2 linked regions of the Drosophila melanogaster genome follow. The protein of the gene in region 1 interacts with the protein of each later gene in a pairwise test. Each region holds a gene or a part of one and is shown in the gene's direction. Other genes may lie near its edges.

What was found. The genes of interacting proteins can lie anywhere in the genome.
Region 2: the proteins of ATPsynCF6L (region 1) and Mst57Da interact in a two-hybrid assay, tested with the Drosophila melanogaster proteins (one large-scale study listed by BioGRID).

Annotation. Positions count from the first base shown.
Region 1 is NT_037436.4:5,008,669-5,015,174, reverse strand, and holds ATPsynCF6L (ATP synthase, coupling factor 6-like), read left to right. Parts: upstream 1-3,041; 5' UTR 3,042-3,079; coding exon 3,080-3,375; intron 3,376-3,430; coding exon 3,431-3,578; 3' UTR 3,579-3,731; downstream 3,732-6,506.
Region 2 is NT_033777.3:25,829,770-25,835,910, reverse strand, and holds Mst57Da (Male-specific RNA 57Da), read left to right. Parts: upstream 1-4,011; 5' UTR 4,012-4,034; coding exon 4,035-4,262; 3' UTR 4,263-4,336; downstream 4,337-6,141. Other genes in the region: Mst57Db (Male-specific RNA 57Db), read left to right, coding at 5,007-5,129; Sfp96F (seminal fluid protein 96F), read left to right, coding at 5,700-5,801. UniProt on the Drosophila melanogaster protein: Transferred from male to female during mating and may affect egglaying and behavior after mating.

The DNA of each region.
Region 1 (6,506 bases):
GAATACCGAAACAGCGAGTAATAGCGCACATCGAAAAAAAGAAAGAATAGTAGGGCAAACAAAAAGGCGGCGACTGCCCAATTAGAAGCCTATTAGTGGTAACCACCACCCCAACACCACCCTCTTCCAATCGGAACTGCTCCATTGTTGCTGGCAATTTTACCAGGACGAAACAGAGCGCCCAAAGCGAGACAACAAATTATGCCAAATGGCTAATGAATAAATATCCGCAACCAGCACTCTACTCCCGTCCGCCGGATAGTTGGCATCCTTTGAGATGCACTAAAGAAAATGGAAGAGTGCCTGTAAGCCTTAATGATAAAATAAAGAAATCATTTTGGAAAAATATTCGAAATTCATTGAATATATAGTAACTTAAATAACTTGCAGGAATATATAAAACGCGAATTTAACATATAATACAAAATCATTTGTAATATCATTTAAAATTATTGTATTTTTTTGAAAACATTTGTGGTTTAAAACAATACAGTTGCACTCATGTTTCTTGATTGCAAAAAAGAATCTTTCTACAGACATTTCCATATTTGCAGCTTTTTTTTTTAATATACACAGCTCTATGATATAGGTTACAATGAGGTAAACGATATTAAAATTTAATTTTTTCCCCCTTTCTTTATCCTCTAGTTAAAAAACGTATTTATCATTTTTATTTGCCGCCGCGTTGAAGTTGCACTTATGAGAGAGCTCGGCGAAAAGCGCACACACGGGCAAAAAGCGGCAAATGCAGTTTTGTATATCGCTCGGTGCCTGTGTAATTGTATCTGTGTGTACTTTGTGGCATGCCACATAAACTTGATGCTGCTGCTGTGTGATATTTTAGCATTGAGCAGCTCTCAATCCCCCAGCATCGCATCCCGCAACCCCCTTCGCTCTCGGTGATATTTAAATCCTTGTTCCTACGCAGGGATAGCTGTTACGCCGGCAAGGACTCGACTCAGTTGGCTTTTGTATGCGCATTAATGCAACGACTCTCATGTTTATTCACACACAAATTTGCAGCGAATACAACGCACAGAGACTGCGGTGATAGCGGGATGCATTCACAATCCCACACAGAACCCCGGGACTCGGATACACTCGCACTTGGCTGAAGCAATCTGCTGGCAAATGCGCTTTACATTTTGCACACGCTAATACAATTTAATGGTCGCATTAATTTGGCGCATCTGTTGCATTTTAAAACACGCACACACAGCCACATCATGTACGAACACCCACACAGTTACGTGGATAGACTGGCACACAGATGCACAGATACACAGATACACAGATACACAGATGCACAGATACATATACACGTTCAAGGAGCGGCAGGCAACCGCAGGATACTTTGCTCACTTTGTTGTCGGCGGGGGAGGTTAAAGCATTTGCCAACTGCAAATAAAGTTGCGCTCAGCTAAATATTAATTCTAACCAAGTTAGGGGAAACTACTTTAATGGCGGGGGCGTGGCAGCCGCACAACTGCTTAATCCTTAGCTCTGTGTAGTAGTCGGAATGAAGATTGAGATACATGCGCTCGGCACCAGACAAAAAAGACCTGATATATGCCACCAGCAGGCAATAACCGTTTCACGTCTTCTTGTTTTCGCCAATGAACGCTTAAACTATTGGTGCACCGAACAAAAATACTAATAGAAATAGGATCGCAAGTATGTTGATAAAACAAGTTTCAATATTTTAAACACAGATAAAAAACCTCTTAATATTTATAGTTCAACTCAGTTTTTTTGACAAAAACTTATATTAGTATTTGTATTAGAAACTTGATCGATTCAAAACACGTAGGACGACAGCCAACCCTCTTCATTGGAATGTCAGATGCGTGGGAAGTTTGTTATTGCTGCCAATTAGGTTGCCATTCTGTTTGTGCCAATGTTTGCATATTATTTCTGCCCAATTTGCATTGATGCAATATTGTCCATGTCCCGCGCAGCGCTCCCCCCTCCCCCCCCCACACCTCGTTCCACTACATGGCGGCGTCAAATGCAGAAAATGTCAAAATTTAAATATTGAAAGTGACGTTGGCGTACAAAAACCCCTCGTGTTGCGGGCGTTGCACTAAGCGGATAAGCGCTTGTTAAATTTTTAATGCGTTGCATAATTTTTAGTTCGGTGTGGATATTTTGCACACAATATGTACGTACTATATGTTCGTATATTTTAATTCGAGTGGCGGATGCGAAACGCAGCATGAGTGCTGGCTGCATTTGAAATGAGCCGCATGTGGCGATGGCCGATTAAGCCCGGTTTAGAAGCTACACATTCCTCATTTCGCACTCGACAATGATCCATTTATTTGCACTGTCAGCGATGGTGCGGGAGGGGAAAAAAGGTGAATGGAAATTTATATTAATTATAATTTTCACAGCCATGTCTTCCCATCAATTATCAGAGTTTGTCCGACGGCTCAGTTCTCTTTTCAGCTCTTTTCTGCTCTGTGCATTTAAATTTTTCCCCTGCAAAGTCCTTGATAAACATTTTTCAATTAATTTTTATTTGCTGCCGCCGACATTTCTTTGTCCACACACGCGCATATATTTATGTATCTTGCTGCGTGCACATAAGCAACAGCAACAGCAAGTTGACGGCAGCAACATCATCGCCTTTATGTGTTTCACGTATTTCTTTAACGGATTTCCACTTGTCTCACTTTTTGAGAAAAACTTGTCGAGATGGCACTCGCATTGTCAAGCCCACTCACACACAGACATTCGCAGATACGACGAGTCAGACAGAGAGAAAATCTTACACGCTCGGGAATAAAGGAGAACGGGCAGCAACGGTGCGTAAAAATTCGTCCTGGAGCAGGGAAGCACTTCAGATGCGTTAGCCCAAAATGCGGGGTTTGATAAACGCAAAAAATACTCAAAATAAAAGATATAAAACGTTTAAAAATATAAATTCAAATCTTAAAAAAAGATGGCTTACCTGTTCTGAAGACAATGATTTTATTTTAATTTTGAAATCAAATTACCCTTGAGTAAGATATCTCAGAATCATATTTTATCGCATAGAAACAGTATCGTGTCAGCAGAGAACAAAACTAACAAAAAAATGTTTAGCCGTTTCCTAAAACCAAGCCTAGTTTTATGTAGGAGTGTGAGCAATACCGCATCCCTTCGCTACAAGGATCCCATTTATCAGATTTTCCTGGACAAGGTGCGCGAGTATCGGCTGAAGAGTCCCAAGGGAAAGCCCGTAGATCCTGGTCCGGAATTCGAGGCGGAGCTGAAGGAAGTCACTGAGCGCCTGGCTCTGCAATACGGCGGCGGCGAGGGCGTGGATATGCTCGAGTTTCCGAAATTCAAGTTGCCCGATATTGATATTGATCCCATTTCGGTTGATGATCTGTAAGTTACAGTTAAATTGGAAAAAGTTTTTATAAAAATATAAATATTTACTTAGACCAGAGAACCAACCAAAGCCTGAGAAAAAGAATAGAGATAAAGAAGTAAAGGCCAAAGAAAAGGGTGGGGAAAAAGAAGTGAAAGCCAAAGATGGCAAGAAAGCTGACGAACCAAAGGGCAAGGATGAAAAGGACAAGATAAAGTAGATCATCACTAAAAATAATCGTTTTAAATGTTGTTAAAATTTTCGCACAATTCTTAATACTTTAAAAATTATAAAATGTTTATGTTAAAAGAAAATGAATTTAAATGCCTGCAGATTCGAGCTACCCGTTTGTAGCTGTTCCAGGATAGAGCCGAAAAAAGAACGCACCGAAATTTTTATTAAGCACATACATGCATAAGCAGCACTCACACACACCATGCTTTTACCATGTTAAGTAATTCCTTAAACAACACAACAGGTCGCCGCCATTCGCATGGCCTTGTCCCTCCCCTTGGTCCTTCGTCCTTTGGCGCTCCCGCACGCCCCATCCCACCCACTTCCATTTTTTCCGTGTAACTGACGCTGAGTGGCAGACACACAGATACTCACACAAGCAAATTGAATTTAATGCTTTCTGCTGTTGCTCTTGATAAAACGATGGCAAGCGAGAGGAGGCAGCGTGTAAAGGACGAGCGTGGGAGCGAGAAAAACAAATCAAGAGACGTCGCGAAGGAAATACAAGCCAAACGCACAAATAAATACGCACAAGTACATAAATTTAAATTATTTTCGTGGCCTGGCCTCGCTTTCATTTATGCTTTTTTATTTTATTATGCCGCTCCGCTACAGTCGGCCTCAAGGATCCAAAGATCCAAGGATCCGGCATTTGACTACGGTCCAGACGTCCTGGCACACTTTCTGAATGCCATACGAGTGTCTGGCAGTGCGGTTGTATCTATACCCGTTGTATCTGTGTCTATATCTCTGGTACCGTTGCTGTTAATCTGTATCTGTAGCTCTGTGTCCTGTAACTGTGGCAGCGCATCTTCAGCTGTCTCTTAGCGAACTATGCGCCCGCATCGAGCAAACAACTACACCAACACACCGAAGACGTCCTTGGTCCTTGTGTAAGGCATGTTAACTGGGATTTGACAGCTCGTAAATAATATTTCGCTTGTTTGTTGGCTCGGTACAACGAGAGCAACGTCTTGCACAAGGTTGAAACAAAGACAGTGGTCTGAGTTCCCAACTTTATCTTTTTGCCTAAAACAAGGTAATATTCTTGTATTAAACCTGAGGTTTTATACATTTAAATGGCTTCTAAGTAGTTCAATTAAAATAAAATTAAAATATTTAATAATCTCTAATCACAAAGGAGCAGCGTTTAATAATATCATATTTCCAATCTTTGGTAAATCTAAATTATTACAAGAAAAACTGTTTTATTTAATTATATGCATATATTTTTTATCATAACTTTTTTCTTCTCATATCCGCTCATTCCTTGACATTTTCAACCACTGTGACCTATTCGATGGCAGCCATGTGAAAACGAGAAACGCATTTCATTTTTAAGCTGCTCCTTCTTGGCTCTGCTTGTTAAACAGTCTTTTTACATGACATGTGTGGGCGGTGGTTGGTTGGTTGGTTCATCCGGAGAGTCAGATTCTGATTCGAATGAGATGCGGTGGCTGGATGCTGGCTGGTTGCTGGCTGTCCTGGCATGTCCCGATTTTTCGGGACCAGGCCGCCACTCTCATTATGCGCACTCTCCTCGTTGCCGGCTTATTAAATTTTCATAAAGCACAGGCGCTCGTAAAAATTGTGCTCGGCCGCTTTTAAGCGCAAGTGGATTAAGATTAAAGCTTCAAGGAATATGACTTCAAAGGCGGACGAGCCGTAATTAAAGCCATGAAAACTGTCCGCAATTCGATTGCCGAAAACTGAATTAAACTGCGAACTCGACCGCCCAAGAAATAAGAGAAGTTGGGAAGTTAAGGAGAAACCAGGAGAACTGGAAACCACAGAAGGACTTGGGACTTCACCCACCGGATCCGCTCAACTGGAAGAAGATGATGGCGATGACGAGGCGGTGAGAGATATCTAAGGTCGCTTTCCCGCTTTTCTGAACCACACACAGACACATGTCTGTGGCTCAAAAATATATGTGGATATATATATATATATATCTGGCCGCTGGCTGTGAGAAAAGTGAAGCATCTTGTGCAATGTAAACGAAACGTAGCCGATAAAAATAATACGAGAGGCAATTTCGATTTATTGACAGGTGCTCGACTTTATTGAAACGTTTAACTTGAAAACCGATGCGAAAGGAGGCTCGCTCCATACATATAGATTTATGTATGTAGTAAGTGAGCACATGCAAAATTGTGCAAAACGATAAAAATTATGTGAATTTCGTTGTGATTTATCGCTGTGAGCCGGGGCGGCGCTTGGGTTTTATGTGCCCAGATTTATGGCTTCTTCGCCTCGCCCAGGATGTGCATTCGAATTTTGGACAAATTTAATTACACTTTTACCTTGTGTGTCTTGTGCGGATCAGCCACGCACTATTTGTCATTTTGTCCGAGACCCATAAATTCCGATGTGCATTTAATTTTGCCGAGCCGCACGTACGCATCAATGCCTGGGCATTATTTAATAATGAAAATTGAATAGTCCTAATTCAACCTGATGACAAAGTGGGTCCAGGTGGATATCTATGTGTGTATATGGTTTGGTATGTGAGTGTGTGCAGGACACGTGCCACTTGAACACATACGCACTAACACAGGATATACGGGATACACAGGACGCCCCTCCAATTGTGGTTTTCCTTTTGTCGCTTCCGTTTCCGCATAATTTTTGCAAGCGGAAAACTTGAGAGCGCTGCGCTAACAAAACATTTGTTAAAACGGAAGACGGCAAACGCAGACAAAGGCGATGGTTTACCGGCAAGATAGAGCACTAAGACCCCCTTTAAGCTTACGTAATTCGGTATCCCGAACTCAAGTCCAAAATACAGGAACTGCGAAATGCGGGCACGTACATACAAGCAGGTGAGCAGGAGAGCTGGTTAGCCGGAGAGCACCAAAAATGCCCAAGTTCCACTTCATTTTCCCGGAGGCGAGCGCTTCACAAAGGTTGC
Region 2 (6,141 bases), on another chromosome or scaffold:
GGTCGGCTAATTTAAAGTTCTTCCATTTTTTCTGATCAACATTAATCGTGTTGACTGGAAGTGCCTTCATAAGTTTTGGGAGAATAATTGCTTCAATTTCTAAATTTTTCGGAGAATTTCTTATCGAAATAACCGCTTTGTGCTTGGAGATGCACGTTCCTGTGGAAGATACTCCACTTATTTCAGTATGAGACCGAAATTTTTTCAATTTTAGAATCTGTGCAGACTCTTCTGAAATAATTGTGCTTTGAGAGCCACTATCAATCAATGCTCTTAATTGTTCAAAGCCTCCATACCTCGACTTTACTTGAATCAAGGCCGTGGCCAACAAGGCTTGACCTGTTGTTCTACACGTATTCACTTTTTCTGGATTATGACCTGCAAAGTGAAGTAACGTGTGGTGAGGTTTACGACAAGTCGAACAAAGCTGCTCGCTTATACATTTTTTACCAAACGGATGCCTCAGACATCTTAGGCAAATCCCATTTTTTCTTACCCAGTCAGACCGTTCTGCTGGATTCATTATTTTAAATTTATGGCATTGAATTAAATAATGCCCTGGTAGTTTGCAATATGCACAATTGTCACTATAATTTTTATTCTTGTTATTATTAATCATTTTCTTTACAGGTTTTACTTCCTGTGAGAATGATGATATAGAATTGAGCCTTTGCTCTAAAAAGTCCATGACATCAGAAAGTGCCTGTATTTCTTTTGTCTTTTTAACATGGCTTTCATATAAATTGAGTGATTCTTTATTGAATTTCCGAAGAATTATGTGAGCGAAAATTGCATCCACATCTTCTGGTAATTGTGCCTTTAATTTTATAATATAAATTGACTCGTTAATCGTGTCAATAAATGTCTTTATTTGCTTATTGGATTCTAAATTTAAATTTGGCATATCCATAAGCCTATTCATATGATCTGAGAATATGTTTCTTTTATTCTCATATCGCTTGGTCAAAAACTCCCAAGTGGCTTCATAATTTTCTCCAGAGCCGAGCAGTAAATGAGTAACCACATTTCTGGCTTCTCCTTTTAATGCTGACTTTAGATAATTAAATTTGAGAGAAGGACTGAGATCCTCTCTCACATGTATGAGCTCTGTAAAGAGTTCATTAAAAAGATCCCATTCTTTGGAATCACCAAAGAAGGTGGGAATCTGTATTTTAGGCAGGGTTGGTAACTCCTCCGCCTTAACAACCGTCGACATTTCAGCTTTATTTATTGTGCCACTGAGTCGACTATTAATGGCTGTAAGAATATTTTGTTTGTCAAATTCAAGTTCGCTAATTTCTTCTTCGAATAGCGAACTCTCAAAATGACTATTCACCTGTTCAATCAGGTTATCTATTTTATGCCATAAAAATTCAATTTTATTTTTCCTTATTTTAAGGAAATCTGGACTACTGTCTATTAGTTTAGACGTATCTTCTAGATATACTCGAAATTGGCCAACATTATTACGAAATGCCTGCTCTACTTTTAAAGCGTTGTTTTGTGCTATACCCTCTTTTTCAGGGTGACCACGCATTTCAAGGTTTAATGTAGGGGGAGGGTTTGATTTAGGGACAGTGTTTGATTTAGGGAAAGTGTTTTCTACCGACTCGCCCTTAATTTTTTCATTTTTATTTTTAATTTTTTCTAACACCATCATTATTAAATCATACTGCTTCGCGTTAAAATATTCATGATCGACAACGCCGATCTTTAACAAATTGCTATGATTAGCAATGAAACATTTTTGAAGCTCATTTAATTTTAGAATTTCTACATCTGTTAATGTTGGTTTTACTTCCAACTTTCTAATTTCCAAAATAATTTCGGACTGCTTCTTAAGGAATTGAATAGTCTTTTCTGACATCATTTTGAAAATTTTTTGTAATTTCTTAATATATATAGTACGTGTATATGTATTTTATATGTATTTATATATATATGTGTGTTTGGATAAACAGAAAATTCTTGTTTTGACTTAGCTGATGTCGTTGTTGTTGCTGCTGCTGTTGCTGCTGTTGTTGCTGCTGTTGCTACTGCTGTTGCTGCTTCTGCTGCTGCTGTTGTTGCTGCTTCTGCTGCTGGTAGAGGCTCCTTTGAATTTGACTTCCTTCTCTTCTTTAAGGCTCCGTCGATGTTTAAAGATGATTTTTTTTTTTTTTTTTTTTTTTTTTTTTTTTTTTTTTGGCACGTTTTATTATTTTTGTAGTCCAGTCAGATTTTTTGTTTTTTAGCCATTTATTTCGGCATTTATGCTCTTTTGGCATATACACTGCACTCTATTTATGAGCTGATTTAATGCTATTAGAGCATTTATAAGGCACTGTTTTCAGGCACTTTTTATTTAATTTATGCTCTTATGGCATATACACTGCACTCTATTTATGAGCTGATTTAATGCTATTAGAGCATTTATAAGGCACTTTTGTTATGCACTTTTTAATTCCACAATTGCTGATGTATGGCCTCAAGCACGCCTTACCACAATTTATAATGGTACACAAAGCAACCTTTAGCTATAGACTATAAGGTGCTTGTTTTAAAACATAAAAGATTCTTTTGTATCTTTTGCTTTTTATATTTATACTCTGTTCCTTACCTTTGGTAGGGGGAAACAAGAGTCACTTATTTTTGCTACCTTTAGCTGTAAGATGCTTAAAGGAGCTGGCCTTTCTCTGAGTTCCTTACCTTTGGTAGGGGGAAACTGCAGAGTCGATTAAAGGCTCGATTGACCAAATGTAAAATCCCAAATAAGAAGACTTTACTCGTTGAGTTTTTGTAAGAAACTGATTTTATTTGGAAATATCTTCGGTTTAAATAGGTGACATGAGAATCGCATCTTAAAGTAAATGGCCTACGCAGAGGCCTAAGTAAATAGTCCCCGCCTTATCGAGGTCCCACGCTCGGGCACATCTGCCTATCTTGAGCGGCGAGGACCTTATCTGTGGTCTCCCACTAAGGGACTATTTTAGGAGGCGGGGAACGATCTCAAGTGACTGACTCATGTAGTGTGCACTTAAATTACATGTTTTTGAGCAATGCACCCATGTCGCCTTAGATAACAAAATCCTAAATATAATTTATCGCTCTCGATTCATTTACATAAGATATGAACGGAGCCCAAAATTGTAAGTCTTTAAATATATTCGTGTTCATGTGTGAACAGCCCTGATCAGCGGATCTCCACTTGATGGGCGATGAGTGGCGCCGGCAAAAAGTACAAATACAGTGAGGCCTGGATTGTGAAGGGCGGCCGATTCAATGGCACAGGCCTCCCGTGCCGTCAATTGGACCACAGAGCTCTTTTCTATCCGCTTGAAATTCGTGGTTTCATGGAAGAATATATTTTGTCCACGACTTGGCTGCTTTTTGGCCTTAAGAACATCGAGCAGGGGTATGACTGGAATTTTCTTAGAAACCTTGTCCAATTTGAACTTGGATTGGTTGGCCACCGACTTGGCTGCCTTTTTGGCTAAGGAATTCTGCACGTGCTTTTTATTCTTAGCCTTGCTATCGATGAGATTTGCTTTCTTCGTCGAATTCGTTAGTTCTGTTTGTGCTTTCGGGTAAGCATGATTGTATGCTATCCATTTGTAGGTTAATACGATGCTGAGAATCAGGAGCAGAGAACCTACAACGATTAAAGTTCGTGACACTTTCATTATGAGATTTTTAGACTGCACTTCAACGTCGTAGCTTACGGTTAACTAACAGCCAAATTCGTTTCACTTCACACACGAAATTGTGATTGTAACAGCAATATGCAAGAAAAAAATATTTTGTATGATATTTTGAAAGCTTATGCTCTATATTTTAAGTAACTTATGCTTGGGTTCCACTTAATTCCTTTTTTTATATATCAGCATAATCAAACACATGCCAATGATAATTACATTATTTTCCTCGAATGAACCACGTATAATAAGGTCAAGCGTGTCGAATTTGAAGATTTGTTTCACTTGGCGATCTTTTTTGCCTATATAAGCGGTCTTGCATTTCCTCATTTCTTTTAAATTGACTTCCAACTGGCCGATATGAAGTTCCTAGCTCTTTTCGTCACTTTGCTGGTTGTTCTGGCTTTGGTTAGCGCCCAAAAGAGCCAGAATACAAATCACAACGTCATCGTCATCGGTGCCAAGAAGCCAGGAGCTGCACCTGCCGCAGCAGCTGCTGCTGCTCCTGCCGCACCTCCTGCCGCAGCTCCTGCCGCAGCTCCAGCTGCTCCTGAAGCAGGACTCGCAGATGCTCCAGCCGAAAGTTAAATATTATGAGTCAGAGGTTATTTTCTTCTAATAAAATGGATCGCTAATCACAATATATGTTTATGAGAGTGTTTAATCTATGTATTACAATATTAAACTACATGGACTGACTTTTGAAACCCCAACCAGACATGGGAGTAGATAGTAACCAGACCACTGCTGTCATAGATCCTTCTGAAACAGGTGTGATTATGAATTGGAATTCAAACAACAAAAAGGTATCTTCGGTTCAGTAAATTTCATTTACGTTTCCCAATATTGTTGGGAAAATAATAATTTTATTTTAACTGACTATTGTTATCACGACAAGTCATTGAGAACTGTGGTAGATAGTAACCAGACAACTGCTTTCTCATATCCTTCTGAAACAGGTGTGATTATGAATTTGAATTCAAGAAGAAACTTTTTTTTTCGGCTTAGTAAATTTCATTGGCGTGCTTTTTAAAAATGCTTGCTAAAGACTAATACTAATTTTATGAAATCAAGAAAGATTTCTATCGCCGTGCCAGGTAAGTTCAGATTATATAAATGTTTGTCAGATTGACAAAAGGAATCAAGTGTTATTTAAATTGTAATCGGTCTATTATGTCTCGGGTTTAAGGAATTAGTTCCACTTCTTTTTCTTTCATCGTGCAATTAATTTCAAATTGTCTGGCATTTAGATTAGTATCGCTTACGCAACCCAGGCCTTATAAGAAGAGCACTCCCCTAGCTTGTCATTACTTCCAATTCCAACTGGCCGACATGAAGATCACCTCTGCACTTGTTCTGCTCTTTGCCGGTGTGGCTTTCGCCCAATCTGCGGATCCGAACACCAACGAAAACAAGAATGTGATCCACATCAATAGTCCCAGCGCCGCAAAGTAAATGAGCTTTTGATAATTGCAGGCACAGAATTCAATAAAACATTTACTTAATTGTTTGCATGTAATAGCAATGGCCTATTTATTTTATTTTAAGTTGAAATATTAAATCTATTTTAGTATACAAGAATATACCATATATATTTTTTCATAAACCTTTTGTTCGAAGCTTTGTTTGGCCAAAACTTATTAATGGTCATGGCTTTTACGACTAGTCACAATCTGACAGTATATCAGATGTTTTTGCCTAATTATATTAAATATAAATTTTAATATATATATTTTATGCTAAAAACGCAAGTGTTTCAAAAAGCGCTGATACCGAAACCAAAGGTGCCAATGCCAAATGTACCAAAACCAAATGTACCAAAACCAAATGTAGCAAAACCAATTTTACCAAATGTAATATTCAAAAGATTTGATTTTCGTACGACCGAAAGAAAAATGATTTAACGATATTAAAATTGGCCACCGTTTAAAAGAATTAAACGATTCGCTTGGCTTATGCAACACTTGGCTTATAAACTATATAAAAACCGGGTCTGTGTTTTATTTCTATTCTCTTCTGATAGACATGAAGTTCCTTGCGGGTTATTTTTTGCTGCTTATTGGCTTCGCTGTGGCCCAAAAAGATGCTGATTCCAATGTGAATCATAATGTAATAAATATTAATTAAACAACATTCTATGTTGTGAGAAAAAGAATAAAAGATTCTATAAAATGTGAACTTATTATGTTTTTTATTTATTTGTTATCGTTTAATTTGTGTACAAGCTAATTATTTTATTCTCAAATTAATGTATATTAAAAAGCATTGATCAAGGATTTAAATATATAGTATATTTGGAATAAACTGGAGATATAAAATATAATTGTCCTGGTATTGGATCGATAATCGGTTGATAAATCCGAAGCAGTAGAGAAATATGTTTTGGTCATATACTAGGTTATATAACCCCTATTGTAATAAACCATTTCGAATATCTATAACATATTTTCCTTTAACCAATTCAATT